Sus scrofa: one gene and its partners. The protein of the gene in region 1 interacts with the protein of each later gene in a pairwise test. Links are inferred from orthologs where the notes say so. Each region holds a gene or a part of one and is shown in the gene's direction. Other genes may lie near its edges.

Region 1 (3,424 bases):
ACAGCTGGAGGTTTTGCCTCAGAGATCTGGCTGGGCCCGAGGGCTCATGCTTGTTATCTTTCCCCAGGTGATGCTAACTTATATACTCTAAAGTGGTGGCGGTACTTCTGTTACTGTATAGACATGATCACATCTCCTCAGTCTTCTTCAGACATTGAAATTAGCTCATCTCCTTGGGTGCCTTTGTGGGTTTTGTATGTTTCATGTTATTTTAAAATTAAAAAAAAAAAAAGCTATTACAGAGCAACATGCAATACATTTTAGAAAATTAGGAAATACAGAGGCGAAACTATTAAAAATATTTTCCTTCCCGTAAATGACCAATGATATACATCCTTCCAGATCTTTTTGTCTAAATATGCATGTTTTTTACCCAAATGACATTTTAATGGTATATGGTGTCTTATTGCCTGTTTTGGTCCGTATAGCTTGTGCTTTCCATGGCAACATATTTTCATCAACTTAATTGTCCATACTCAAATTTTAGCAGTTGTCCTACAAAGTCTCTTCCATCTGGTTTGTCCTGAGGGACCTAGTCCAGAACCGCCCGTTGCATCTGATTGTTCCATCCTTCTGACGTCATGCAGCCCAGGCCTCACTTTGATGAACACTGCCCTTCTCCAGGTCTGCTGAATGGCCTAGTTTCTATGCTTTCCCACCAGCACCTCGCCTTCCTTGGGCTTAGGTGTGTGTCTAGTAGGGCAGCAGTGCTAAGTGTTAATAACCTGCATCCCCTCTGCCGCCTTCTCCAAGGTCATAGACATGACGGGCCGGGAGCAGAAGGTCTACTATAGCTACAGCCAGATCAGCCACAAGCACAATGTCCCAGATGACGGGCTCCCACTGCAGTCACAGCTGCCCCAGCCCGGCAAGGAGGCCAAGGCCCCCGGCTTTGCGCTGCCAGAGCTGGAGCACAACCTGCAACTGCTCATTGAGCTCACGGAGCAGGAGATCATCCAGAACGACCGGCAGCTGCAGTACGAGCGTGATATGGTGGTCAACCTGTCCCACGAGCTAGAGAAGATGGCAGAGGTGCTGGAGCACGAAGAGCGGGTCATCTCCAACCTAAGCAAGGTCCTGGAGATGGTGGAGGAGTGCGAGCGGCGCCTGCAGCCCGGCTGCAGCAACCCCCTCACCCTGGACGAGTGTGCCCGCATCTTTGAGACCCTGCAGGACAAGTACTACGAGGAGTACAGGATGTCCGACCGTGTGGATCTGGCTGTGGCCATCGTCTACCCGCTGATGAAGGACTACTTCAAGGAGTGGGACCCCCTCAAGGTGACTGGGCGGGAGGCTCATGTGCTGCCTCTTGTCTGGGGCAGTTCTGGGCTTTGAGAGGAGGTCTGGAGGGTGAGGGCCCAGCCCCAGCCTGCTACCTCAGCTGCCGTTTTCTCCTCAGGACTGTACTTACGGCACGGAGATCATCTCCAAGTGGAAAAGCCTCCTGGAGAATGACCAGCTCTTGTCCCACGGTGGGCAGGACCTCTCGGCAGACGCCTTTCACAGGTACTCCTGGTGGGGCTGGCACCGCTCTGGGAATTGACATTCATTCGCTAGTTCACCTGAGGCTTGTTGCGTGGCTATTGGGGATGTGCCTCTCACGTCTCCAGGAGGTGGGGAAGGCAGGTGCTAAGTAAACAAGTGGACAGATAAGTGGGCTGCAGGCTGGGAAGAATGACAAGGATGCCCACCTGGGATGGGTGGGGGGTGTTGGGGGCAGAGGTCTCTCAGGAGGTGACGTTCAAGCTATAATCCAAAGGGTGGGTGGCATCGGCTGTGCAGGGAGAGCTCTAGGTGGGGAAGCACATGATGACACTTGGAGGGGACCCTGCGACCCAGCAGCAATCCTGCCAGGGAGGCAGGCACCAAGGAGACAGGCCCCAAGGCCAAGTGGGTGCTCAGCACGGAAGATGCAAGCTCACGTCTGGCTGATATGTGGGCTGGCCTCTCGGTTTCCTGTGCTGGGTTGCCGTGCTCTTGCCATTTTCAATTCTCATTTTCAGGGTTGGTGGCAATGTTCATTGCATACGTGGCAACCAATCTGTGCATTTAACCATCCTTTCTTGCACAGGCTGATATGGGAAGTCTGGATGCCTTTCGTTCGAAATATCGTCACTCAGTGGCAACCAAGGAACTGTGACCCAATGGTGGACTTTCTGGATAGCTGGGTGCACATTATTCCCGTGTGGATCTTGGATAACATACTGGACCAGCTCGTCTTCCCCAAGCTGCAGAAGGAGGTAGGGCCAGTCGTGGGAAAGAGCTGTCGTCAGGAAGCATGGGGTCTTGTTTAGGATTTCTCTTCATTCTCTCACTGCTGTTAAGATGCCTGGAATTAACAGAACTTGTCAACATAGTTATTGCTCTGTAATGCTAACTCTAGTTCTTTGCCCCAAAGCCCCCCTTAATAGGTTTCCTTAATAAACTTAGAATTGTGCCATTTCTGAGATAATACATGTATGGGCATATGTGTGAGTCACTGTCCCTGTTTAGGGGAAATGTCATGGAGTCTGGGGCCCCCTTGCATGCACAAAGGACTGTGGACCTCAGCCAGCAGAGCACGGGGCTTCGTGTGACTGCCCACAGGCCACCATAACTGCTGCTTGCTCCCCACTCCTCCTGCAGGTGGAAAACTGGAACCCACTGACGGACACGGTTCCCATCCACTCCTGGATCCACCCGTGGCTGCCCCTCATGCAGGCGCGCCTGGAGCCGCTGTATTCCCCCATCCGCAGCAAGCTGGCCAGTGCCCTGCAGAAGTGGCACCCCAGCGACTCCTCTGCCAAGCTCATCCTCCAGCCCTGGAAAGACGTCTTCACCCCGGGCTCCTGGGAAGCATTCATGGTCAAGAACATAGTGCCCAAGCTGGGTAAGGAAAAGGGGGAAACACACCCAAGTACAGCAGCTTTGCTGTCCTGGTTTCTGAGGCCAGCAGTAATGATTATGGTTCTTAAAACATGGCCTTTGAATTCTGTGCAAAGGCTTATTATTATTAGCACATGATATTTCTCACCATGAAAGAGGTGCCATTTTGGGCACTAGGGCTGAATATTACTAACCAGGGTCCCTCTTGCAGTGACAAAGTCAGTGATTAGTCCAGAATGGGCTTTCGTGACAGTATAGCCACAGGTGATCTGAAACTTTTGTTGTATTGGATTCCAAATACGGAGCTATTTCTGGGAGTTCCCTTGTGGCTCAGCAGGTTACAGGTCCAGTGTTGTCACTACTGTGGCTCTGGTCACAGCTGTGTTGCAGGTTCGATCCCTGGCCTGGGAACTTTCATGTGCTGTGGGTGCAGCCAAAAAAAAAAAGTAAACATAGAGCTATTTCTGGATTAGAGAAGAAAGCAAGTTTTAAGAAGTGTTGTGTCAAGAGCTTAAAATTGACCTTTGAAAGCAGATCAAAGGCTGACACTGGTGACCTT
Region 2 (4,109 bases), on another chromosome or scaffold:
TTTTCCAATTTAATTTGGAGGGGTTGCAGTGAAGGTAAGGGTGAAGGGAGTAACAGCGGAAGCCATTCAAAGCAAAGCCCACCTTTAAAGAGGATCAAGTCATCTTTGGCCAGAAGTTGCCTTGTGACACAGCAGGTTAAGGACCTGGCATTGCTACAGCTGTAGCATAGGCCACCAGATCCCTGGCCTGGGAACTTCCACAAGACCAGGGAAAAAAAACAAAACCATCTTTGGCTTTACAGATGATTTTCTTCTTGATGGAGGGGCAGCCACAAAGACCAGCTGTGCTCATGTGAAGGAATGCTCCACCAGATCCTTTGGAAAATATAACCTGCACAGTACGAGTGGGAATACCTGGGATTTCAACCCTTCCCAATTTACCTCAAATTTACCTCAATGGGCCAGGAGAGGCCCTCAATACTGATTCTGTATATTCTCACCAAGAATTAAACTTACTAAAACTTACTTGATCCCATATGTCAGACCTCTGCAAGGCAGAGAATCCAAAGATGAATAGAGCAAAATTTCTGTTGTGAAAGAATTTTCTACCCAATAGGGAAAAAGATGCTGCATGCAGCCAGTCTGTAACAGGGCTACACCGACAGCAGGAACTAGTTCCTAGGAGCCCATCCATACAAGGCAGCGTTTACAGAAACTTGCACACCTCAGCTTGCGGGGCAATGGGGGCGGCTACAGAAGACATTTTCAGCTTTTAGGAGTTCTCTTGTGGTGCAGCAGGTTAAGGACCGAGCAGTACTACTGCAGCAGCCTGGGTCGCTCCTTTGGCATGGGTTCCATCCCTGGCCGGGGAACTTCCACATGCTGTAGACCCGGGCCAAAACCAAAAAACAGGCCAAAAAGTTTTCAGTTTTAAACAAGAGAACTCGCCCCAGTACGTTCTGGAGCTGGAGCTCCATTTCCCGTCACCAACTCCGCTTCCTGCTTCCCTCCCTTAACTTCTTAATTAACAGCCTCCCAATGCAACCACCCCTTTACCTTACCCCATATCATCAAGGGCCTGGCTCCCAGGAAGGGCCCACAATTTGACCGTCCCTTCCCCTGCCACCCCAGCCTCGCCTCAGGCCTGAACCTCATCACCTCAAAACCACCGTAACAAGAAGCTGACGTTAGGACTGCGGGGAGCTCCTGCTCAAGTTCTCCTAGGCTGGGTTACAAGTTCGCAGTGGCTCACAAACGGCCAGGTGAACCAGCACCACAACTAGCCTACTCCTAAATTTGGACCTTTTGGGATCCAGCAAGTATCTTGAGCGACGCAGGCTTAATGTTTTCCGTCAGCAGGCTCCACGTTTACTCGGCACAACTATCGGCTCCAGCGTGGTTTTCCATTGACCTGCGGGGCACTGAGTCCCACGGAAGTAAAACGAGTTGCACCAAATCCGAGCGTTACTAAAGGGCAAAGCCCCCAGAAGCCTGCAATTGAAACCGTGACCGCCTCCATGCCCTCGGGGCTGCAAGGCGGGGCAGTGAGGCACAGGTGCGCAAGCGCAGGCCTTGCCCCAACGCCCCCCCCGCCGCCCCGAGGAGTCACGTGAGGGGGGCGGTCTAGGGGCCGGAGGAAGCGGAAGGCGGACTCTGCGCAGAAAGCAGCCCTCCCCCGGAAGTCCCTGCACCTCAGGAGCCTGTTACCGGAAGTGCTGGTATTTGTAGCGGGCGTGATGGCTTCAAGGTTACTCCGTGGAGCTGGAGCGCTAGCCGCGCAGACCTTGAGGGCCCGAGGTCCCAATGGAGTCGCCGTTGTGCGGTCTATGGCATCTGGAGGTACTAGGCCCCCCCGGCGCGCCAGGGACCCGTGCCATTGCTCTCTCGGGGTGGTGGGGGCAGCGGGGCGGGGGACAGCCTTCAGTACCTCGCGGCCGCAGTGGCTGCCCCTTGGCCCCGAAGGCCTCAGGCTCCACAGGCGTCTCCCTGTTACCCTGGGCCGCCGTTGCTGCCGACCACCAGACTGACCCCGCTGCCAAAGAATCCTTAACTGAAATGCTAGATGACCTTGATGGGCAGGGATTGCAGCCAGGACATGGGGGGTGGGGCTAAGCCCCTCCTTAGACCCGCGCGTATCTCAAGTTGGATGTATTCCACTAGGACTCTGATTAACCTGCTTTTAGGAAAAAAATGTGTCGAAAAACGGCCTCCGTGGCCGAAGGAAGTGAAGATCACCCCATGTTGCCACTTTCGGGTATCATGACTCCGGTCTTTAGGGGACAATAAGCCCACTAAAACTATATGCAGCAGTTTGCGTATGTGCATTTTCCATCGTGATCATTTCAGACGACATGGTAATTACCATATTTTCTTCAGGTGGTGTTCCTACTGATGAGGAGCAGGCGACTGGGCTGGAGAGGGAGGTCATGATGGCCGCCCGCAAGGGACTGGTGAGGAGAAACTTTATATGTCTTCTTAGGAGTTTATGGTTTTGGATGGGATCAGAGTAGTCTCCTCTCTGGGCCTCACTGATCCTGGAAACCTGGCATGTGGGAACAATACCGCTAACCCCTAGAAGGTAGGAGTCATTTGGCATAATGGATTCTTATTTTGTCTTTTCAGGACCCATACAATATACTTGCCCCAAAGGCAGCCTCAGGTACCAAGGAAGACCCTAATTTAGTCCCCTCCATCACCAACAAGCGGATAGTGGGCTGCATCTGTAAGTACCTCAACACTATTTTCTTACCCATTTAATATAGCCCACTATACAGGTCTGTAAGCTCTTTCATATCTTGTGCTTTGTGTGTGTATAAATAAGTTGTTATAAGGGTCTTGGCCCTCTCATACCCCTCTGCTTGAGTAGGTGATCCTTACGGGAGAGAGGCCTGGAACATAAATAATATTGGTTCATTGAGAGTTCTTGTTGCGGCTTAGTGGGTTATGAACAAGACACTAATATCCATGAGGATGTGGGTTTGATCCCTGGCCTCGCTCAGTGGGTTAAGGATCTGGTGTTGGGGCTGTGGCATAGGCCAGCAGCTGCAGCTCTGATTTGACCCCTGGCCTGGGAACTTCTATATGCTGTTTTTATTAGGTGCAGCCCTAATAAAAAAAAAAAAAATAGCAAAAAAGAAAAAAATACTGCCTTATTGGAAAGGCAGTATGAGGAAGGAGTATTCATCTAGAAAGTGTTTATTGTATTTCTCCTTTGCTAGACACCCTGTTAGGCAGTGTCAGCCATAATTTTGTGTCTCAGAGGTGTCTGAAGAGAAGAGATTAATGTTGAAAGTCCCCTCTTCTAGGCTGGATAGCTTTCAACCACCTATGTTCTTTCAGGTGAAGAAGACAACAGTACTGTCATCTGGTTCTGGGTGCACAAAGGCGAGACCCAGCGATGCCCCAGCTGTGGAACCCATTATAAGCTGGTGTCGCACCAGCTGGCCCACTGAGCCCCTGCACTAACACACTCAAGATGCGCTGGCAAGTTTCTTCCAATAAAGACTAGCCATTACACTGGCTCCTCCTCCCATGGCTGGCTGGTCTTCTTTCTTTCCTGTATTTCTAGAAGGGTATGGGTAATTCTTATATCAGAGGTAGTTGTCTATTCGTATTAGCTTGCCATCCACTGTGTACACTGAGATTACCAATCCCTAATGCAGTGATAGGAACCACCTGGCAAGGGGCAAACCGGCTGTGGAAGCAGGCTGGCTGGACTTGTAGAACTGGCTCCACTCCATCATTTAGCTTTATCACTGGGGACATGTTCTCTGGGATGGATCACATTAAAAAAAAGAAAGAAAAAAAGAAAGGATAAGTATCTTGTAAGGTTGTAGGAGTATATAAAGAGCCTGGCAGATAGGTCCTTATGCTGTTCTAAAGACAGAGTGGCCTTGTGAGGAGAGTTTTGGCTTTGAAGTCTTAAGGGACCCAGGTTTAAAGCATAGTTCATGAGGATGCCATCAGCAAAATCTAGAATATGGGACAGTTCTAGAAACCAGCAACCAGTTTCTTCAAATAAACTATAGGGAGAAAAAAAAGGGGAGTACTTAGCAAGTGAAATGGACATGAGGAAGATACCAATCAAAAGCAATGTGTGGACTGTTTGAATCTTGATTTGAAAAAAACCAACTGTAAAAAATCCAAGATTTAGGGGCTTACTAAATTTT
Region 3 (3,058 bases), on another chromosome or scaffold:
ACCTTGGATCCATAGGTTCCTACACCCATCCTTCTCTGGGAGTGTCAGCTTTGTTTTTGCCCACTGCATATCCATGTTCTAAAAGTGAAAAACAACCACCAGTACATTGCATCTCATATTGTTGGTCACCTGAGACTGTCTGCCATATACAATCTAGGGAACTTGTGTTAATTAACTAATTGGTTAGTTAGACAAATAAAAAAGTCTTAGGAGGGATTTGGGTGTGGCTGTCAATTTCTGGAACCAGTCAGTTTGTGTGAAAGCGCAGAGGTGGGGTCTACACGAACACACCCGTGAAGGCTACATCAGTCATAAGGGGAATTAGGGTCCTTCCTGGACAAACAAGTAGAAAGACATCATACTAGTCTGTGCTAATAAATACAGCAATCTTTGTGTGATGAGATCCTAATCAAAAAATTAAAATTACATCAAAATTACCCAAGGGAAGTAGAAAAACCAAAATCAATGACCATTCAAGCACCTAACAGTATCATTAGTACATTGTCTTCAAGAAAGTTTCAGTTGTACATGTATTGACTACATTCTGCATTTTTCCTTCATAACCCCCTGGACTTGGCAGTCAGGAAATCTTTTTTTTTTTTTTTTTTTTTTTTTTTTTTTCCCCATAGCAGGCTACGGGTAGAATTGGAGCTACGGCTGCCAGCTGACACTACAGCCACAGCAACACTGGATCCAAGCCCTGTCTGCAACCTACACCATAGTTCATGTCAACATCAGATCCTTAACCTACTGAGCAAGGGCAGGATTGAACCTGCATCCTCATGGATACTAGTCAGATTCCTTTCCGCTGTATCACAATGGGAACTCGCAGTGAATCAATCAATTTTTATTGCTATCTTTCATGATTCTGATATCCCGCATCTTTTTCAGAGTTGACACATTTTCTTGGGTGACCCTGATTGTTCTGTCAGTTTAAATTCTCACACTTGTTATCCAAAACCCAAGCTTATGTGCCAACCTGGGCCTTTCTCTGAAACTCACATCTAACTTGATTCTACATATACCCAATTGAACATTTCCTAAGAAATTCAGCTTCAGCATCTTGGAAGCTTAAGTTTCCATCTTTCCTCTTAAACTTGCTCCTTGTCCAGTGCTCACCCATGTCGCTCCTCCCCCCGGCCCCAGGACCGCCTCCTTAGCCCAAACTGGACGACTGTGGGTCATGAGGCCAGTATTCCACTAGGCCCCCTACCCCTTTGGGACCTCAATACACCCCAGCCCTCCAGGCGCCCCGCCCCTACCGCCAGCCGGCAGGGCCCCCACAGACCACGGATGCGCAGGCGCACTAGCCTGTCCCGCCGCCGCCCCGCCCCGCCCGGCCGCTGCGGAAGGCGCCGCGCGCAGCAACGCGCACTTCCTCTCCAGGAGTCCACCGAGGGAGCGCAGAGTCGAAGAGCTCCTGGACGCAGCGGCCGAGCCCTTGCCAGACGGAGCAAACATGTCCGAACAAAGTAAGGACGTGTGTGACCCCAACTTTGCAGCCGATGCCTCCCACTCCGAGGTGCACAGCAGCCCTGGGGTGGCCGGGGGGCCCTCTCCGCCTGCGTCCCAGGCCGCGACCCTCGCAGGGCCAGAGATCCCTCCTGTAGGCCCACCCGACGCCCCTCTGGCCTCGCCGCCGCCCCAGGCCCTGAGCGAAGAGGGAGACCCAAAGGCTCTACAGCAGGCCGCGGAGGAAGGCCGCGCCCACCAGGCCCGGAGCACAGCCCAGCCCAGCCCAGCGCCGCCGGCCCCGGCCCAGCTGGTGCAGAAGGCACATGAGCTCATGTGGTACGTGCTGGTCAAGGACCAGAAAAGGATGATCATCTGGTTCCCAGACATGGTGAAAGATGTCATCGGCAGTTACAAGAAGTGGTGCAGAAGCATCCTGAGGCGCACCAGCCTCATCCTCGCCCGAGTGTTCGGGCTGCACCTGAGGCTGACCAGCCTGCACACCATGGAGTTCTCGCTGGTCAAAGCTCTGGCGCCTGAGGAGCTGGACAGGGTTGCTCTGAGCAACCGCATGCCTATGACAGGCCTCCTGCTGATGATCCTGAGCCTCATCTACGTAAAGGGTCGCGGTGCCCGTGAGAGTGCTGTGTGGAACGTGCTGCGCATCCTGGGGCTGAGGCCCTGGAAGAAGCACTCCACCTTTGGAGATGTGAGAAAGCTTATCACTGAGGAGTTCGTACAGCAGAACTACCTGAAGTACCAGCGCGTCCCCCACGTCGAGCCCCCTGAGTATGAGTTCTTCTGGGGCTCCCGTGCCAGCCGTGAAATCACCAAGATGCAAATCATGGAGTTCCTGGCCAGGGTCTTTAAGAAAGACCCCCAGGCCTGGCCTTCCCGCTACAGGGAAGCTCTGGAAGAGGCCAGAGCCCTGCGGGAGGCCAACCCCACTGCCCACTGCCCCCGCAACAGTGTCTCCGAGGACTAGCAAGGTCTGGAGGCAGATTGATGGTTTCTGACCCTCACCAGGGTGGTGGAGGGGTGGGGGTGGGACATTAGAGTATTCAGGATTTACAGTGCAGTATTTCACGTGTAACTTTTACGTTTTCAGTACAGTGCTTTTATACCTTTTAATGCAATGTTGTATTCATTTCAGTAATAATTAGGTAGTGTGTAGGATTCATGCATGTTTGTTTATAAGTAAGCTCAGTTGGTGCTTTCGCTTTTGTGCTACCTTTCTTGAATTTTTTGTACCAGAGACGTGCTAAACTTATGAAATACATTGAGACATTTTCCATCTTATTCTTTTACATGGGACTGATGATGTGTATGGGGGTAGACAGGTACTAGAGAGTTTGGACGAACTCACCAGTAAAGCTGGTCTAACCAAGAGAAAAGTCAAGACCTCTCTCTCTGTGATCTTGCTGGGCACAGGAAACATCTGTCTGGAGTGTGGTGATGTGGACTTAAAGGGGCTCAGTATGGACACTTGGCACAGTTTACTAAACACAAAAACAACCCCACCATGAGTAAACTTTAAACATTAAAGATTCTTGTGATACAGTCATTTTTATGGAAAAGTGTACTTTTATCTTTTTAACAAAGTAGT
Region 4 (4,343 bases), about 12 Mb from region 1:
GCAGTATGTGTATATATATATTTCTCACTTTTTAAAAAAGGTCAGTGCAGGAGTTCCCGTTGTGGCTTAGCAGTAACAAACCCAACTAGTATCCATGAGGATGCAGATTCCATCCTTGGCCCAACTCAGTGGGTTAAGGATCCCGTTGCCCTGAGCTGTGGTATAGGTCGCAGACTGGCTCAGATCTCCTGGATCTCAAGTTCCCATGGCTGATGTGTAGGCCAACAGCTGCAGCTCCAATTCGACACCCAGCCTGGGAATTTCCATGTGCCACAGGAGTGGACCTGAAAAATAAAAAATAAAAAAGGTCAGTGCAGTGGGTATTTACTGGCTGCATCATTTTATCACATTTTAACTCTGTGCCTTAAATGGGCACTTCTGAGCTGGGGGGAAAAAAAAGCTGTGTGAGATGCTTGCTGGCCCCAGGGGGCCTGTTCTGACCTCTGCATTTGCTTTCTTTGAAGGTGCATATTTGTCTGGGGCAAATGTCAAGTCAATGAGGATCAGAGATGTAAGAAAGAAGATCATTGTATTATTTACCGCAAGGAACTGCTGCTGATGGTGGAGGAAGGAGGCAAATGGAGATTTTCAAGAAATATTTGCTAATTGTTAACCACATTTTTCTGCTGTTCTTATAAAGGAATTAATATCGGCCTCCTTTTCCTGCCAATCTTGCTAACACGGCTGGAAGTGTTATGTAGCTTCCCTATTCCAAAGACTTTGCATTATTTTACCAGGAGATGGAAAATGAAAGGCACTTATGCTGTTTTCCCTAAAGGAAAAGGACTATAATAATGGAGAGGTTTTAAATATTTCTATCGCCAAACGCTTACAATTCAAAAAGAATGAGGTGTCGCCAAGGATTTCCCAGCGGAAACAGCTCTCCACTAACACAGAGACTGTGTTCCCGCCATCCCGGTCGCGGCCGGGAGGAGAGCATCACTCTCAAAGCCTAGGGCTGGCGTGGCCACCCTTCTTTTCCTGTAACTCAGCAACGTCAGGGTTAACCTTTGCCCGGTAAAAAGAGACGATGCCCTGTGAATTTTTATGGGCAGTAAGCATCTCACCTTTCATCGCCCCCTTGGGGGTGGGGGAGGGTATATTGTGTGTTCTTTGGACGGATGGATGTAAAAGCCGCGCCTAGCCTGGCTCGTCCCTGGATCTAATCCTCAGGCAAGGGTGAGGATGCCAAAGGCTCAGGTCCCAGCACCCAGCGAGGACCAGGGCGCCAAGACCCCGCTTCCACTTCTCATCTCCCCTCCCCCGACCCCTGGGCGACGCGCGCTCCAGGCGGAGAGCTGAGCCGGGCAGGGGGCGCGAGGCCAAGCTGGGAGCGCGCAGAGCTGGCCGCGGGGTCCGGGCTGGGAGGCGAGGGGCACGGGCAGAGAAAAGAGCCCGGGTGCGGGAGCCCCGATGACGCATCCGTGACGTCGGCGGCGGCAGGCGGGATTTCCCGGCCCTTCCCGGGCGCCCTGCGAGACCCTGCTACGGAGGGGGCGCGACCGACGTGGACGCGAGGGGTCGGGGGTCGGGGGACACGCGTTCTGCCCCCGCTGCACATGGACGCGCGCCTGGAGCACGCACAGGGGGCTGAGCAGACAAAGTACTTGGCGTCTGGGTGACTGCACTCTCCCGCGGGGCACCTGCTTGGGACCGGCGCCCCCGCTCGGCCTCACGTGGTCTTTCCCCGCCTGGCCCGCGAGGCGCGGGACGGGGCGGGGCTGGTGACGCGGCGCGGAGACCCCGGGGGCGGGGAGGGCCGGTGCGGGGCGCGCGTTTCCTCCGCGAGCCCGTCAGTGTCGAGGCGCGGAGCCGGAGCCCCCTCAGCCCCGCGCCCGGAAGCGGAGCGAGGCCGATCGGTCTGGCAGCCCCTCGCGTGCACCACGCCGGAGACAAAGCCAGCGCGTGAGCGGCGCCCTCGGTCCGCGCTCCCGGGTAGGGTAAGTGGGCTCCCCGCCGGAGGGCTGGCCGACAGGGGCGTGTCGGGTGGGCTATGACACAGCCCTTGCTCCAGCGAGCTCGAGCCCAGCTAGAGACGAAAGGGAAACTCGGGCGGGAAAGTCTCTGGAACTGGAGAGACGGTTCTGGTGCCTGGGTCGTCCTACAGCTGTCAGTGGAAGCTCGCAAATACCTGTGGTTATGCTGGCGGCCCGCAGCTAGCCCGGCCTTCTGGGCGTCCGCACAGGTGGGCGTCGGCGGCCCAGCGCTGGCCGGTGCAGGAGCTCCTCGAACCCGGGACACTCCGCCGAGCCGTAGGGAAACCCGAGCGCAGGTTTGGACCGGCAACTCGGAACGTTTAAGGGGCCTCCTAGGGGTCAGAGCCGCCCGATCTCTCCGGCTTGAGGCGAGGGAGATTCCTGGGGACCCCCTTTCCCTAGATAGGTCATGGCTGTTCGCTAGTCTCACGGCAGGGACGTCCCCCGCTAAAGAGGACCGTAATGGAACGAATGGAGTGGCTAGTTGGTCATTTTATTTGGGGAAATGTTTTTGGCCTGAAGAAGCCCTCTTAATTCTCCAGCACCCGGGACACCTGCCTCGGGAGCGGTCCCGGGGGCCACAGTGGAAGACGGGGCACGGGTTTGTTTCCCTTCTTTTATGGCGTCTGTCCCCGAGTCTGGTGCTGAAATGAGCTGCGATCGCAGCGCGGGCGCCCAATGGCATTGCGGGAGCTTTGGTTTGATTTTTTTTAATTACCTTGGAAATAATAAGAAGAGGGTTAGAGGCTGGAAGGTGGATAGAGGTATGACTGGAAAAAACTTCTTAATATAAAAATAAAGAGAACTTGCTTATTTTTGTGTCTCTTGGGCCAGTTATTAGGAAATCCAAAAATATTAAACTTTGATCAAGTGATAAAAGGGATCATGGACACGGTTCTCCTACCCTCTTCCCAGCTCCAGTTTTCTTTTTCTGCTGCCTCCCAGGACTGCAAAGGGCTACTACAGGGCCTTTTTTCAGTCAGAGCAGAAGGCCTGCTGGGCCGGGCTGGTGTTCCCCCTTAAAGCGTGTCAGTCTTGTCATCTGCTGAGTCCTTACTGTGGTGCTTCCTTCTCAGGGTGTGACAGGCACAGTCAGTGGCAAATGCCTCAAAGAGGCAGGGAGGGGACCCAGGCTTTTGACCAGCTTCTTGATTCTTTGGGGAACTCCTTTTCCTGATCTTTGCATGGTGCGGGGGGAAGGGAGGCACCTGCCATCTGATCTGGCCCTGTTCCCTGCCAAAGGCTACCTTGGAAAGCCTTCTTCAGTCCTGAGAAACAGGATGGTACAGGTAAACTGTGAATTATTTTTGAAATGTGGGGTTGGCTCAGTTATCAGTCATGGTAAGACCTGGTTGTAGTACTCAGTACATAGTAGGCGTTAATGTAAATACAGAATTTATTTTGGTGCTTTGCCAGGTAGCTCCTCACTATGGGGTTATTAGGCTGAAATGACTATTTAGGACTACGGGATTCATGTTTGCCCCTCCACCCACACATGGCTCCAGTCCTCAGCCTCCTTAAAATAAAATTGCTCAGAGGAAGCCTCAAGATGTTTGGCCGGCTGGGAAAAAAAGCACTGCCAGAGGGTCATTCCCAGGAGCACCGTAATTGTCCAGGCAGTTGCCTTTGAGTTTCTCATGCATATCGACGGTAGGAAAACAAGGAAAAAGCTTTTCCCATAAGCATTTTACAGTTTTTAAAGCCAAAATGGCAGTCCCTGAAGCCCACCCAAATCTCAGTACATTCTTGGAAATGGTGGAATATCAGGTGGAACTTGGATGATGCTGTCCTCTGGTCACGGGGAAGCAAGTGTCTGGCAGCTGTGTCAGGAGGATGGGCTTAGGAGTGACTGTGTATAATGTCACACACACACACACACACACACACACACACACACACACACTCGCTCACCGAACAACTACTGCTTACGGAGGAAGGCAGCCCAAGTGGCTGAGGAGGCTAAAGACCACTGGACAAGTCATTCTCATTTGTTTATTGCCACATGTCACTGTCACATTTTTCTTACCTTGTGTCATTTTTGTTATATTTGAAGAAGGGAAAATGCCCAGTAATGCCATGCAGGTTAGTAGATGGCTCTCTTCATGGAATTTTGAATCAATGTCTTTAAGACATCAAATTACCTGATTTGTTCTCAGAACACCTTTCTGAGCCTGTGCTGTTGTTTAATCTTGCAGATTTTTTCTTGTTTTCATTTGGTATCTTTATTCACTCTACATGTACTCTGGCATCAAGAAGTTTATTTTTTAAATTACTCAGTGAATTTTATTATATTTATAGTTGCACAGTGATCATCACAACCAAATGTTACAGCATTTCCATCCCAAACCCTCAACGCGTTCCCCCACC
Region 5 (4,589 bases), on another chromosome or scaffold:
GCCTACGAGAACTTGAACAGAACTATGACCCTTCTTTCCATTAAAATGAACAAATGCATGCACATGACTTAGATACTATTTTAGGCAGAACACAGAAGTGGCCAGTTGAGAAAACCTACTCTAGGTTAATTAGTATGGTCAGTGGAAAGAGTCCCTTGGGCCCAGGCATACTTTTGGCTGAGAGGGCACCAAGGTGGGTGTGGGCTCCAGGCAGTGACCCTACCTCTAGACTGAGTTCTCTGGTGCCCTGAAGTAAGGTGACCAGATGTGAGAGGCCAGCAGGCTGCACATCTCATGCCAGGTGGTAGCAGCAGACAGGTTAAGGAGCAAGGTTAACTCAGGTATCCTGAATAGGGCAGGGCAGGCAGCCCTAGTGCTTTTCGAGGCTTCATGGAAACACACAACTGCAGGGGTAGGCAGAAGCAGCAATCTCTTTTCTGTATCCCTAAGTTACATTTGTGGGAATTTGAGGGAGGGATGGAGGGAAGAAGCCAAAGGCATTTTTTACTCAGGTTTGTTACCTGAGTAAAAGTGGCATTTACCACCTTGGTCACCTGGCCATGTATATTTTTGGCATGAGCAACAGAGTTACGTGCCAGAGTGCAGGGGATGAGGGGCTCTGGAATTGAAAAGAGATAGGAGGGCAGCACATTGCTCCCTCCACTCTAGACAAGGCAGGGAGAATCTGACCATTTCTGCATCCTTTACACCCTCAGCTGCTTCAGCCTTAATAGACTGAAAGTTAAAATCCAGGGCAGGTGTTCAGAACAGCCATCAAATCACAAGAGGTTCACACGGCAGTCGGCCAATACTTTGAGACACTGAATACATGACATTGTTTAATCAAACAAGATGGGATTGTGTTGCTTTTGTTTTCTCAAATTGTAAGTTGATTCAAAAGTAGAAGAGTGATAGTTCATTTATCTAAAATGGCCAAGATTAGACTACTAGATCATCTTTTTGTGGACTAATTCATAGATCATGTGAAAAATAAGTTTTCAATTTTAAAATAGGTCACTATGCTTTGAAAGCTGCTTTTTGTCTGTAACCAGTGGAAACATTTTCCTTGTGTTATAAATAAATGTAATAAAATCAACAAGGCCTCTTGGGTCTTCCCCTCCCACTTAAATTATTCTCCATTCAATGAAAATAGCATCATTTTATTTTCTCAATACATTCTTTTATTTATTTTTTCTAAAAGGGCCGCACCTGTGGCATATGGACATTCCCAGGCTATGGCTCCAATAGGAGCTGCAGCTGTTGGCCTATGCCACAGGCACAGCAACGCAGGATGCTTAACCTACTGAGCAATGCCAGGGATGGAACCCACATTCTCATAGATACTAGTTGGGTTTGTAACTCGCTGAGCCACAACGGGAACTCCTAATTTTTTATTAATGAACAGAAAAGTTTAAGAAAGTAAGACACTCCCACTACCCATCTCCTTTTCTGAGATCTTGAATCCCATTTCGTATAGGGGTGCAGGGGAAATGCTGGACCTTCGTGCTGGGTTGGGGGCAGGGGTGGATGGGCAGGGAATAGAGGAGAGAAATTTTATTCCTCAAAAGAGGAAGACAAGACTAATGACATAGGTGCAGATACGGAAAGACAAATTCCAACCACAAGAGAAATACTTCTGGTCTCTGGGATGGTTAGAGGAAAATGAGTGGCAGGTTCTGCTGTGGAGAGGAAGGAAAAAGGGGCGGGGGGGGTCTCCTGCCGCACTGCTGGTGGGAGTGGTGATTTGGGGTCCTGAGCTCACGAGTGACGTGGCCCTCACGTGAGCTGGAGCCGACGCATGCAGACGTCCTACTAATCCCGGTCTCCGTTTGGTCCGGTTGCCATCTCCCTATTACCTCGAGGGCGCGCGGGCCTGCGGCCAGGAGAAGAGAAGGAGGAGGGAACTGCTCTGATCTCCGCAGGTCTGTTCGTGGATGGGCGCTTGCCTGGGGGATCCCTGCGGTGCGGGAGCGGAGGGCGGAGACTGCAGAGGGACAAGGCCCGCTTTCTCCACACCCTTGCACTATCCCGGGCCCTTCCAAGAACAAAAATGAAGATTTGGGGGCCAGAATCCAGGGGAGACCCCAGCCAGGAGGAGGGGAAACTTGAAACCTTTGGCATCCAGGGCCTGGAATCGGGAAGGGCCGATGTTAAGATTCTTGTCCTGTGTGTTGGTCCATCTAGCAAGCCAGAATCGTGGGGCTGTGCGTCTGTCTTGTCATTCCCCGTGTCTTTCAGTAGGGCGCTGTACCACTCGGAGCAAAGGAATAAAGAATCTGCCCCAGGTCCGCGTAAAGGTGGGATTGCCCCGCGGCCCCCAGAAGGGCGGGGATGCCTGAGGTCCTCGCCTTAACTTGGGCGCATTACTGACTCTCCAGCCACCTCCCTGCTCTTTTATGTAGGAAATAGGACATGACAGCGCGTACAGGAAAAATGGTTGTCGTTTGGCGCCAGGAGCGGGTAGGGGAGGGGGAATCAAAGGGATCTTTAGGTTTTCTTTCGCTCCTTGGGTTTTCCTCACTCACTCGCACCGCCTCTCCTCTTTCCAGTTGTTGGAAAGGGGTGTGGTTTTTGCTGGGAAAATGGCCGACCCGCTGGGGCTGGGGCTGGGGCTGGGGCTGGGGGCGGGGGGGGGGGAGGGGTGGGTGGATGCCCTTGCAGGAAAAGGGCTGCGGTCAGCGGAGTCCGGGGAAGTGGGGGTAGGGTGGGAGACCAAAAGTTGAAATCCGTTTGACAACCAGGACCTTAAATTCCGAAAAGCTGGTATTGGGACTGTCTGAAGTGCTGTTCTGTCCGCCTAGCCATCCGTCTCTGCTGTGTCGCCTGTCTGTGTCTGTGGGATCTTGCGCCTGACAGCCAACCCAACCCTAGGAGCGGGAAGAAGAGGAAAATTGTCCAGAAACAAGTAGGTCAGAGTGAGGGTGGTGGCACTATTTAGGGATCCCTGGGGTGGAGAATGGTGGAGACTGCAAACTCCAGTGGGCCCATGGACCTCCCCCACAGCCTCTTCCTTTCCTCCTCTCTGAACCAATTGCGGAGCTTGCAAAAGAAAGTGCTCTGCAGGGGAAAAAAGTTGCTGAGAAGACAACGGTGTCACAAGATTTCTGGGGTAGATGTGGAGAAAACCTTCCTCCAAATTACTCCAAGCACTAACTAGGTCCCAGAGTTGTCAGTCCTTAGATTTGGTGGAAGAAACAGAGATAAGGGAGGAAGGAAATTTCTCCAGAGCAGTGGATATAATGGATGAGGGTAGGAGTGTCCTGGTACCTCTGAGATGGTGGCGGTGTCGGAAGCAAGGGAGGAGGACAAGACCTTTGGACATTTTCTGCCTGTCTGGCTACTAGACAGACACCCTTGCTCCACTACCATCCATTTCATTACAGAGAAGGAGTTGTGGTGTCACCTTTGAAGGAAGTGATTTGTGGGGGTAGGGGTGGGGTGGAAGATTGGGGGAAATGGAAGAAACGGGGTGGGAGGCAGGTCATAATAAACTACAGAGCCAGGGCTCTATAAAGAGGACCAGAACCAAAGGTGGGAGGAATTGGGCTAGGCAGGGCTAAGGCTAGTGGTTCTGGAGAGGGACACGTGTCCCATCCTTGGTGTAGTCCATTTTCTGTCCCCTGAGCATTCAGCACTACCCTCCCCACCCCTTTGTATGCAGGTTTGCAGGACGCAGTGCTCGTCCAAGCAAGATGTAGAAGGAAGACATTGCCTGGACCTGTATGGGTGTATGTGGGGGTACTACTGTCCTCAGGAACATCTGGAGGGGGAGGGGAGGTAGGGAACTGATTAGATATCTTAACTTTAACATATCAAGGTGTGGTGGTTGAATATGAGGTTGGAGAATCTGGAGGTGGGGAGAGTTTTCAAAATTGCCTTCCCTGTTGAAGACAGGAATCAGTGATCTAGCCCTGAGACCCTGCCATGTCCCCCATTTGTTTGGTCTGTTTGTCCATCTGGAGGTTCAGTCTGCATAGAAAGGCACAAAAGGAGGAGACTGAAGCCTCAAATATTTCTTTCATTCCTAGGTCCTGCAGTATCTGCAGCTGCAGCAGAGACTGCCAGCTGTAGCTGAGGACTCCACCCCCTACGTGGGAGCACTTCTTTGGGCCAGAGAAAGCCCTTCAGACACTCACCCTAGCATGGGCCGCACTCGGGAAGCTGGCTGCGTAGCTGCTGGTGTGGTGATTGGGGCTGGTGCCTGCTACTGCGTCTATAAACTGACCTGGGGAAGAGATGAGAGTGAGAAAATCTGGGAGGACGACGATGATGATGAGGAGGAGGAACCTAGTGATATGGCAGAAACTGGGAAAGGATCTAAGGCTAATTCTGGGGCGGGGGCTGGAGCTAGACTTCAGGGTGACTCAAAGGCCAAAGCTGAGGTGGCCGTGGAACTCAAGAGTGGATCCGATATAAAGGCAGAGGCCCACTCGAAGGCCCAGAGTGGAGGTGGCCTAGAGGCCAAGGCCAAGGCCCTTTTCAGCACCTTGAAGGAACAGGCAAGTGCAAAGGTGGGCAAAGGGGCCAGGTTGGGTACCATCTCTGGGACCAGGACCCTTGCACCTGGTTTACCCTGTCCAGGAGTGAGG
Region 6 (4,341 bases), on another chromosome or scaffold:
AGAGTGAGAATCAGTAATTGTGGGGTTTCCAGGAAGACTCCGAATAATCTTCAGATTTGGAAGACTTTGGTTGAAGTTTTCCAAATCTGTTAAATGTGAGAGGGGCAGAGCAAATAATTAATGAATTTCCTTTTCTCACCTGCTCTGTAAGAATTTTCAAAAGGGCACAGGAGCCAATCTGAAAGATTTCCCCATCGTCAAATGTGGAAAAATTTGAGCAGCAAATTAAGTAATGTACTGTTGAATTACAGCTCAAAATATACAAGAAATATATATATAAATCCATACTGATTGAATAGATAGGGATATGGGAGAGAAGGAACACATCTCTACAGAATAATTCCAAATAATGTAGATACGCCTCCCCCCAGGAGATGGACTTTCCTTCTCCCCACCCTCTCTTGAAATATGGGCTAAACTTAGTCATCCAAAGATGGAAAGAGAAAAATAGTAGCTCTGCCTTGGAAAAACCAGGGAGACACTACTTTAACCAAGTAACAAGGATTGCTGTCATGCAGCACCTAGTAGGATGTGGTCTTCCTCCCCCAAACCCCAAACCACAGCCTTATCATGGGAAAACATCAGACAAGACCAAATGAGGTTGGTTTGGTGTACACACGCTACTAAATATGAAATAGGTAAGTAACAAGGATCTACTGTAGAGCACAGGGGAATCTACTCAATGTCCTGTGGTGGCCTATTTGGGAAAGGAATCTGAAAAAGGATGGATACAGGTATAGGTATAACTGATTCACTTTGCTGTACACCTGAAACTAACACAACACTGTAAGTCAACTATACTCCAGGAAATTAAAAAATAAAAAAATAAATAAATGATAGATATCCACAAAATAGCTTAGCCGAAGTTTTCAAAACTGACTGAGTTAAGGAAAACAAGAAAAGACTAAGAAACTGTCATAGACAAGAAGAGACTAAAAAGACCTAACACTAAGTGCAGTGTGGAAACCTGAATGAGATCCTGGAACAGAATGGTATTAGGGGGAAAACCAGTGAAATCTAAAAAAAAGTCGAGTTTATTTAATAGAAAGGGATCAGTGTTACCTTCTTAGTTTTGACCAGCCTACTATGGCGATGTAATACATGAATATTAGGGGACGTCGGCAGGGGGGTTTTGGAGAATTCTATACTCTCTCTGCAACTTTTTTTGTAAATCTAAAATTACTCCGAAATAAAAAAGGCTTATTTATAAGCAACAAAAACAAAAGTTTATTGTTTGTGCAAAGAGAACATTTTAATAAAGCAGCGACTACCCTCTTTACATGACTCAGTTACTGAGAGGTACGCAGTGTTGAGGGATGCAGGGAAGGCACCCCGGAGCGCCTGGGGCCCGGCGTGTGCTTCCGGGGGCGGCAGGAGCCTAGGCTCCTCCCCGGAGCCACCAGGGCGCCGGACTCTGCCCCGGGCGCTCCCTGAGGGGTGGAGCCAGCCAGCCCCACGGAGAAGACTCAGCCCAGGTCCAGAGCCGAGGGGAGGAGCAGCGGCAGAATCCTGCTCTGGCTGAGCGCCCTCCAAGGTAGACGAGCCCCTGCGATCCGCGCACAGGTCACCCCCAGGTGAGTGAATGTCCAGGTGCCCTTGGAGCCGGTTCCCCCAGCGCCGCCCTCACACCAAAGACATTTTCCTGTAAACAGATCCTCGGTTAGGAGGATATTCTCCCTGTAAACCTCTCTTCTGGACTTGAATTCCTTGGGCGAAAAGTTTGTGCTCTTCCAGGAACGGAGCTTACCTTCCTCGAGAGAGAATGCCCCACCCTTAGCCCTGTGCACACCTGATTATTTATTTCGATTGCTGTTATGCCGTCCCTCGGCCAGGGGTTCTCGCGATTCAGAGGCGGTGGAGAAAACATGCTGTCACCTGTGAACCCCCGCGCGGCGACTTTGACAGATCACCGCGCCTGAAATTTTTAAGAGCACAAACGAATGCTTGTGAGTGAAGATGGTTGTCTTACACCTTCATTCATCCGTGCTGGCATCTGTAGCTGCAGGTGTAGCTAAAGGAGAACAGCCTATTGGTTGACAGTGCTATCTATGGTCATGGGATTTTAGAACTGAAAGTTACTCAGCCCCAGGCAGTTGTGCAGAGGAGCAGTGTCAACTTACGGAAAGAATAGCACAGGACGGTGCAAGGGTAGATTTTAGATTGGATGATGACATGGCTGTACATTTTCAACCTTCTTTGAAAGGAAAAAAATTACGTACATAATCAAATATTATTATTTACATATATAAATTATATATGATCATATATATATGCACAGAAGATGCAGTTAGCCCCATACATAAATGAAGCATAACTCAAGCATACATAACTATTTATACTATAGTTGTTTCATTTCAGGAATCAAAACCTTTGTTACTTCCTTTTATATACAGTCTAGATGAAGTGTCCAAAAGGGAATTATTCTGCATTTGCAATAGGGAAAACATAATCTGTCCTTTTGATTTTACCTGTGCTATTAAATATTCAGTTCTGCACAAGTCTGGCTTTTCAGAAATACGATCTGAGCTTTAGTCTCAGATATCCTAGCGGACACAAATGGTGCTGCTGTTTCCTGGGCTGCACTGCCCCTCCCCCTAGCCCTCCCTCTATGCCACTGATTTGAGAGTGGTGGTCCCTGACACAGAGGAATTTGTGCCTAAGGCAGGGCCTTCTCAATTACTTACAGAAAGAATGAAAATGGCTGACACTTCCTGCGACCCAGGAAAACTTAAAGGTTTTTACCTTTGTGATTTGCTGAATATGGTAACTAAAGCTGCACTAACTAAAAAGAGACTCCTGAAATATATACAGATACTATTTCAGTTGTATAATTCATTGTTGTGATTTCATGAATTAATAACAGGGATGCATGTATTTGTTAGCTTTTTGATTTATAATGTGCTGGACAGTGGGCTTGAGCTATAATCTAAAGCCCTGACAAAGCTGAAAAACATAAGCTAGATTTGGCCAAAACTAAAAAATGAGGTGTACATTTATTTGTTTGGAATTATGACTGAAAAAGGAAACAACTGAAGAATTTGGAAGGGACTGTAAAAGTCTTTTGAAGTAGTAGCTTTGAGTCTTTGAAGTGAGATATTTACATCAAAATTAGATGGCCATTTGTTGATAGAAAAAAAAATATAATGGCAAAATGTTACTCTGAATGTAATAGCCTGTTTAAGTGTATTTACATTTTACTGAGCATGGAAACAGCCATCCACTGAGTCTGGAAAACAAAAGCAAGCACGTGCCCGCGTGTGTGTGTGTGTGTGTGTGTGTGTGTGTGTGTGTGTGTGAGAGAGAGAGAGAGAGAGAGAGAATTTAGGGGCCTATTCATATACTCATTGAACCAATACTTGTTGAGTGCCTGCTGTGCAGGGCACCCTGTTCTGTCTTGGGGACACAGAGGGATACAGCTTTGTGCAAATAAGACACATTCTTGTCCCTGTGGAATTTACACCAGTTTGAAATCCTTCAGGGCAACCCTGAGGCCATAGATTAGGGACCACACCTAATCATCCATCTATTTTTAACAGTGACTGATTAGTTTCAAATCACTGACTCTTTTACACTGACTTAAATAGATTTTAAAAGGAATTTGCGTCTTAGGTCAGTTTCCTCTTTTGCTTAGGCTGGGGAAGAATTTAGGAATATTGTAGTCTGTTAATGCTATGCAGTATTTTGATATTAAACTTGAAATAGTTTAATATCAATTTCATGGGAATTAAATAAAAACTAAACTTGGAGTAGTAGATGCCAGTAATTTAGGGGGAAAAAAAATCAATGAGTGAAAAATTTCAAATTGAGAAAACTGTATCCAAGTTTTTTTTTTTCCTGTAAGTTAAAAAATATGACTACAGTCATATTTTACCTCAGAGCAGAAGAATGACTTTATGCAAGGCATTTTTCCCTTTTTTTATTCTTTTGCTGTTTTCTCAAAAGCAGGTTTATTGGAAGTATAATATACATACCAGAAAATCCAGGTGTCCAATTCAATGATTTTTAGTAACATTTATGGAATTGGGCAACCATCATCACAGTACAATTCTAGAACATTTTCATCCCCCCTTAACCACCCATCTTAAGGGGCTGTTTGCAGTCACTCCCCATCCTCAGACCCAGCCCCAGGCAACCACCAGTCTACTTTCTGACTCTTTAGATTTGCCTTTCCTGTACACTTTATACAATGCAATCATACAGAAGAGTGTTTAGCATCTAGCTTCTTTCACCTAGAATAATGTTTTTGACGTGCATTCACATTGTGGCAGGTATCACTAGGGGTCCCTTTTTATTGCTAACTGATGTTCATTCTGCTGAATGGCTATACCACATTTTGCTTAC
Region 7 (4,414 bases), on another chromosome or scaffold:
TTTTCCAAAGACCTAGGTTTTTGAAAATACCTGCCTTTAGGTTTTGAGCTTGTCTGTGGTTCTAACATTTATTTGTTCATTCATTCAGCAAATGTTAACCAAACGTCTTTGAGGAGCTTAAATGAGAAAATTCTGTGGGCTGGTGACAGAGGTGACAAAGTTTCGGGGGGCAGCATGCTCTTCCAGATACATAATCCTGGAAAGAGCAAGCAGGCCTGTGGACATACTAGATTCATAAAATGTATATAGTTTTGAGGCTGAAAGATACCCTGCTGGTCACTTAGTTCTCCAGCTGAAGAAAGACCCAGGGCTATTAAGTGACTCCCTTTGTTTTTGTTGTTTGGTTGTTGTTTTTGGTTTCCTTTGTCTTTTTTAGGGCTACACCCACAGCATATGGAAGTTCCCAGGCTAGGGGTGGAATCCAAGCTGCAGCAATTGGTCTACAGCACAGCCACAGCAACTAGGGATCCAACAAGTCTGCGACCTACACCACAGCTCATGGCAACTCCCAATCCTTAAGCGAGGCCACAGATTGAACCCTCATCCTCTTGGATCCTAGTCAGGTTCCTTACCGCTGAGCCACAAAAGGAACTCCCTTAAATGACTCCCTTTAGATCATACCTTTTACAAACTCTACCTGTGGAAGAGACTTTCAACCAAATGCTCTTGGAATGTAATCTTTTCTTTCATCATAAGTTTTCATATTTGAACTTCTGGAAATAGTAGCCAGCCACTAACTCAACATCAGAAAAAAAAGAGGCTTTGGTTTAAACGAATAATAGCTAGTCTCCAGCATAAATGTGATGAAAGGAGATATTTGAAAGTACTAACTGCATATATTTTCTAGAGGCAAAATTGGCAAAGGCCATGGGCAGAGAGTGGAGGGGATCTTCAAACATCATAAACCCAACGATCCCATCCCAAACTTCCAATTCCATCTAACAAGATAAAGCCTCTTTCGCTGCAGTCAAAATTATTCCAGTTATGGTAATAATGACTTCCTTTTATACCGATTCAGTTGACAGATTATTCAGTTGACAGAAATCTCTGAACCCCTAGTCTGTTCGTGTTCGCGAATATATTAATCTGACTGATTCAGAAAACAAACTCACGGATGTACTCGGGGAAAGAGTGCTAAGCAAACATCAGTTTATTTCAAAGCCTCTAGAAATTCCGAATCCCGAGGTCCACCGCGAGGTTTCAGAGAGCAACTCACGGCTGTTACCTTTTGGAAATTAAACTCTTGCAGAGGCGCACCTTTTATTCTACATTCGTCCTTCCACAGAAAGCGCTCAATTGAGAAAGACACTGAACTAAATGAGTGGGCTTGGGAGGCGGAGAGCCGAACGCCATCAGCCGTGGCGAGTCACCTGCGCAGCGCAAAGCGGGGGCGACGCGGGGCGACGCGCGGGCACACGCAGGGGGACGGGCGGCCGCGGAGGGCGGGAGGCCGGCGGCGGCGCGCCCGCTCCCCACGGCCGGGCGGGCAGAAGCCCCCAGTCCTCGGCCCCCGCGCAAGCGACGCCGGGAAATGCCCACATCCGGGAAACCTGCAGCGGAGTGCGGCGGCGGCGACACCGAGTGGAAGGCAAAATGGCGGCGGCGGCGGCGGCCTGGTGCTGAGGGGAGAGCCAGGTCCCCGCGACCTCCGCGACGGGCCGCGCTGGCCCGCGGCAGCCCCCCGGCGTCTCTGCCCGCCCTGCCCCACCGGGGACACTTGGGGTCCCTGGGACGGGCTCCGGCCGCCTCGACGCCCGCCCTCGGGCCCGTGGCCGCTGTCCAGGAGCCCCGCTCTCTGCAGGTAGGTCCGGGGCTGGCGTAGCGGGTGGGGCTCACTCTCTCCTCCGGAGCCCGCGTTGGCGGGGCGGTGGCCGTCGGGGCCCACGCCCATCCCCGCTGGCGGGAGTCCAGGGGCCGCTGCGGACGGGCGGGCCGGGCCGGCCCGGTACGGGCCCGATTTGGCTGGTTGCATGGACCTGAGCGGAGCCCTGCCCTGGGGAAGCGAGGGTTGGCCGCGCCCGGGGCTGGAGGAAGAGCCCCAGGCTTTGCGGCCTTGGAGGTTCAGGTTAGCCCGGGAAGATCCTGTCTCACTGGAGGCCTTGCGCGGACTGTTTTCGCTCACACCTCCCTCCACCCTTGTCTCCAACCCTCACCGGTCAGCGGTGTTCAGGAAGGAACGGATAGCGAAAGGTGATTGTGAAGGAAATGTGCAGTGAAGGAGCCACAGTTCTTTCATTCCAGAAGGACCTGCTCCTGGATATACCTTGAAGAAATTCTGAGAATTTCTATTTACAGTCCACTGTAAATAGGTTGCTGTTCATAGTTGGAAGGGATAGGAGAGATGGAGGGAGTATGTCTGTAAATTCAGAAAATGAAGGAAAGGAAGTTCAGGGGACATTGTTTATTGTAACTTCAAAAAGACTTTGTGCCACAAAGAATGACTCTCAGGTGAAGTGATTTAACCCCATTCTTTCCAGTTGGAAGCTATTTTCTTCTTCAGTTTAAAGTTCTTTTCTAAGGGAACAAAAATTAATGTCTGTTGACCCATATGTTAATACGACTCAAAATATTACATCGTTATCTAGAAGTTAATTCATAAATCTAGTGAGAACTATAATCTCGCACACAGTATTGTATCACTCCAATTTTGGAAATGGACTTGAACCATGAAGGGTGTCAGGTCTTATGGATTGTTATTGAGGACTAAGAATTTTTTGTCAGATTTCCACCATATAGAAGAAAAAGTCGGATATTATAATTGTAATGAATGTGCTCTGCTAAGGTATCTATGTTCGTGATTTAACTACGTTTATTTTTTTCCTTTAATTAGTTGACACACGGGTAAAATGAGCTAGTTGATTCCCTAAGGCAGTGGAGGAATTTGATTTAACAGTGAAAGAAGTAGCATTGTGTTCCTCTGATCGGCTGTTACTGCAAGAAACTAGATCATGATACAGGCTAGAAAAGGCGCATTTTTTCCTGTGCCTGAGTATTTAATAAATATGGTGACAGCCTTCAAAAGCAAATAAAAATATTTCTGCTAGATATATTTGGCATGATATGGCACATGTGGATTTCTTTCTTTAGGTTGAGTTTTTGTTTTTGTTTTTAATGCTCCTCCTTGTTACTCTACATAGTGTAGCCTTAGAACAGTTCCAGCTCTGGTTATTTAGTTTTTGCTCTAGATGTGATATTTAGATTAGTGGTGGATTTTTGTAGACTATGAAAGTTATTTAGTCATTGAACAACATTTTTATCAAGTAGAAATGGCAGTCATTTTTCAAATGATGATAAAATATAATGATTGTTCTCACTTTTGATAGGTTAACTCTTAGAAAGTGAATTGGAGAAAATGTCATCAGAATGCAGAGATTCTTACATATTACCATATGGACAGCTAAGACTATACTGCTAAGACAGTACTGTTGCTTTTCTCATAACTGATTTAGTCAAAGCTTTAAGATACCATCTTTTTTACAAGCCTAGTTCAACCTAAGGTATCAATTTGAAATCTTCTTATGTAATGGGCTCTGTTCTTTTCCTAAGTTGGGTAAGATATCAGCAGTATTTGTTTGTACTTATTGACATTTGTACATCTGATGAAGGTCCGAACTTTCTAAGAAATGGAGGTTTTGTCTGTTCAGTCTAACCAAGTTATCCCTTCAAAGAATGTGAGTCATGATCCCTTAGGAAAACTAAGATGTAGGTATGATAAAAAAGAGCCTTGGGGAGTTCCTGTTGTGGCTCAGTGGTTAATGAATCCGACTAGGAACCATGAGGTTTCGGGTTTGATCCCTGGCCTTGTTCAGTGGGTTAAGGATCCGTGTTGCCATGAGCTGTGGTGTAGATTGCAGACGCGGCTCTGATCATGAGTTGCTGTGGCTCTGGTGTAGGTCAGTGGCTACAGCTCCGATTGGACCCCTAGCTTGGGAACCTCCATATGCTGCAGAAGCAGCCCAAGAAATGGCAAAAAGACCAAAAAAAATGACATGGAAAAAAGAGCCTTGGGCTGTTTCAGGATATGTGGAGTCCATTCCTAGCATGACCTCCAGCTGGCTGTATGATTTTAATGGGGCCACTTTACCTCTCTGGATCCATTTACTCTGGATCAATTCAAATTATAATTTAAAATAAAATACACACACACACACACACACACACATCCAATATCCAAGATACCTCTGCTTTGTCAGTCTGTGCTTAGTGGGAAAAATAAGACAAGTACAAGAATAGGGCAAAAACAAGTTTTATTTGCCTGTGTAAAGTGCATTTGAAGTTCAGAGGAGGATAGCAGCTGGCACTTCAATGAAAGCTTCATGAAGGAAGCATTTGAATGGCACCATAAATGCTGGGTATAATTTCTACAAGAAGGAATATGGCAGAGGGTCTCCTAAGAAGAGTAAGAACATGAAGG

Evidence for each region.
Region 2: the proteins of TFIP11 (region 1) and COX5B interact in binary tests that used the Homo sapiens proteins (3 or more experiments, as listed by UniProt). The two-hybrid records come from large-scale screens. The link is inferred for Sus scrofa from reciprocal best matches to the Homo sapiens genes TFIP11 and COX5B.
Region 3: the proteins of TFIP11 (region 1) and NDN interact in a two-hybrid assay, tested with the Homo sapiens proteins (2 studies listed by BioGRID and IntAct). The link is inferred for Sus scrofa from reciprocal best matches to the Homo sapiens genes TFIP11 and NDN.
Region 4: the proteins of TFIP11 (region 1) and GNG4 interact in a two-hybrid assay, tested with the Homo sapiens proteins (2 studies listed by BioGRID and IntAct). The two-hybrid records come from large-scale screens. The link is inferred for Sus scrofa from reciprocal best matches to the Homo sapiens genes TFIP11 and GNG4.
Region 5: the proteins of TFIP11 (region 1) and ARMCX1 interact in binary tests that used the Homo sapiens proteins (3 or more experiments, as listed by UniProt). The two-hybrid records come from large-scale screens. The link is inferred for Sus scrofa from reciprocal best matches to the Homo sapiens genes TFIP11 and ARMCX1.
Region 6: the proteins of TFIP11 (region 1) and CCDC68 interact in binary tests that used the Homo sapiens proteins (3 or more experiments, as listed by UniProt). The two-hybrid records come from large-scale screens. The link is inferred for Sus scrofa from reciprocal best matches to the Homo sapiens genes TFIP11 and CCDC68.
Region 7: the proteins of TFIP11 (region 1) and LATS1 interact in a two-hybrid assay, tested with the Homo sapiens proteins (2 studies listed by BioGRID and IntAct). The two-hybrid records come from large-scale screens. The link is inferred for Sus scrofa from reciprocal best matches to the Homo sapiens genes TFIP11 and LATS1.

What each region holds. Positions count from the first base shown.
Region 1 is NC_010456.5:44,099,509-44,102,932, reverse strand, and holds part of TFIP11 (tuftelin-interacting protein 11), read left to right. Parts: intron 1-753; coding exon 754-1,278; intron 1,279-1,399; coding exon 1,400-1,506; intron 1,507-2,071; coding exon 2,072-2,240; intron 2,241-2,625; coding exon 2,626-2,869; intron 2,870-3,424. UniProt on the Homo sapiens protein: Involved in pre-mRNA splicing, specifically in spliceosome disassembly during late-stage splicing events. Intron turnover seems to proceed through reactions in two lariat-intron associated complexes termed Intron Large (IL) and Intron Small (IS).
Region 2 is NC_010445.4:56,629,660-56,633,768, reverse strand, and holds COX5B (cytochrome c oxidase subunit 5B, mitochondrial precursor), read left to right. Parts: upstream 1-1,661; 5' UTR 1,662-1,676; coding exon 1,677-1,779; intron 1,780-2,316; coding exon 2,317-2,390; intron 2,391-2,562; coding exon 2,563-2,662; intron 2,663-3,279; coding exon 3,280-3,392; 3' UTR 3,393-3,472; downstream 3,473-4,109. UniProt on the Homo sapiens protein: Component of the cytochrome c oxidase, the last enzyme in the mitochondrial electron transport chain which drives oxidative phosphorylation.
Region 3 is NC_010443.5:142,411,229-142,414,286, forward strand, and holds NDN (necdin), read left to right. Parts: upstream 1-1,459; coding exon 1,460-2,437; downstream 2,438-3,058. UniProt on the Homo sapiens protein: Growth suppressor that facilitates the entry of the cell into cell cycle arrest.
Region 4 is NC_010456.5:55,651,311-55,655,653, forward strand, and holds the start of GNG4 (guanine nucleotide-binding protein G(I)/G(S)/G(O) subunit gamma-4), read left to right. Parts: upstream 1-1,432; 5' UTR 1,433-1,935; exon of another isoform or gene 1,936-1,940; intron 1,941-4,343. UniProt on the Homo sapiens protein: Guanine nucleotide-binding proteins (G proteins) are involved as a modulator or transducer in various transmembrane signaling systems.
Region 5 is NC_010461.5:83,131,014-83,135,602, forward strand, and holds the start of ARMCX1 (armadillo repeat-containing X-linked protein 1), read left to right. Parts: upstream 1-1,761; 5' UTR 1,762-2,050; coding exon 2,051-2,297; exon of another isoform or gene 2,298-2,402; coding exon of another isoform or gene 2,403-2,460; intron 2,461-2,741; exon of another isoform or gene 2,742-2,801; coding exon 2,802-2,905; exon of another isoform or gene 2,906-2,909; intron 2,910-3,661; exon of another isoform or gene 3,662-3,722; coding exon of another isoform or gene 3,723-3,728; exon of another isoform or gene 3,729-3,777; intron 3,778-4,028; coding exon 4,029-4,589. UniProt on the Homo sapiens protein: Regulates mitochondrial transport during axon regeneration. Increases the proportion of motile mitochondria by recruiting stationary mitochondria into the motile pool. Enhances mitochondria movement and neurite growth in both adult axons and embryonic neurons.
Region 6 is NC_010443.5:104,471,664-104,476,004, reverse strand, and holds the start of CCDC68 (coiled-coil domain-containing protein 68), read left to right. Parts: upstream 1-1,423; 5' UTR 1,424-1,574; intron 1,575-4,341. UniProt on the Homo sapiens protein: Centriolar protein required for centriole subdistal appendage assembly and microtubule anchoring in interphase cells. Together with CCDC120, cooperate with subdistal appendage components ODF2, NIN and CEP170 for hierarchical subdistal appendage assembly.
Region 7 is NC_010443.5:16,273,389-16,277,802, forward strand, and holds the start of LATS1 (serine/threonine-protein kinase LATS1), read left to right. Parts: upstream 1-1,566; 5' UTR 1,567-1,801; intron 1,802-4,414. UniProt on the Homo sapiens protein: Negative regulator of YAP1 in the Hippo signaling pathway that plays a pivotal role in organ size control and tumor suppression by restricting proliferation and promoting apoptosis.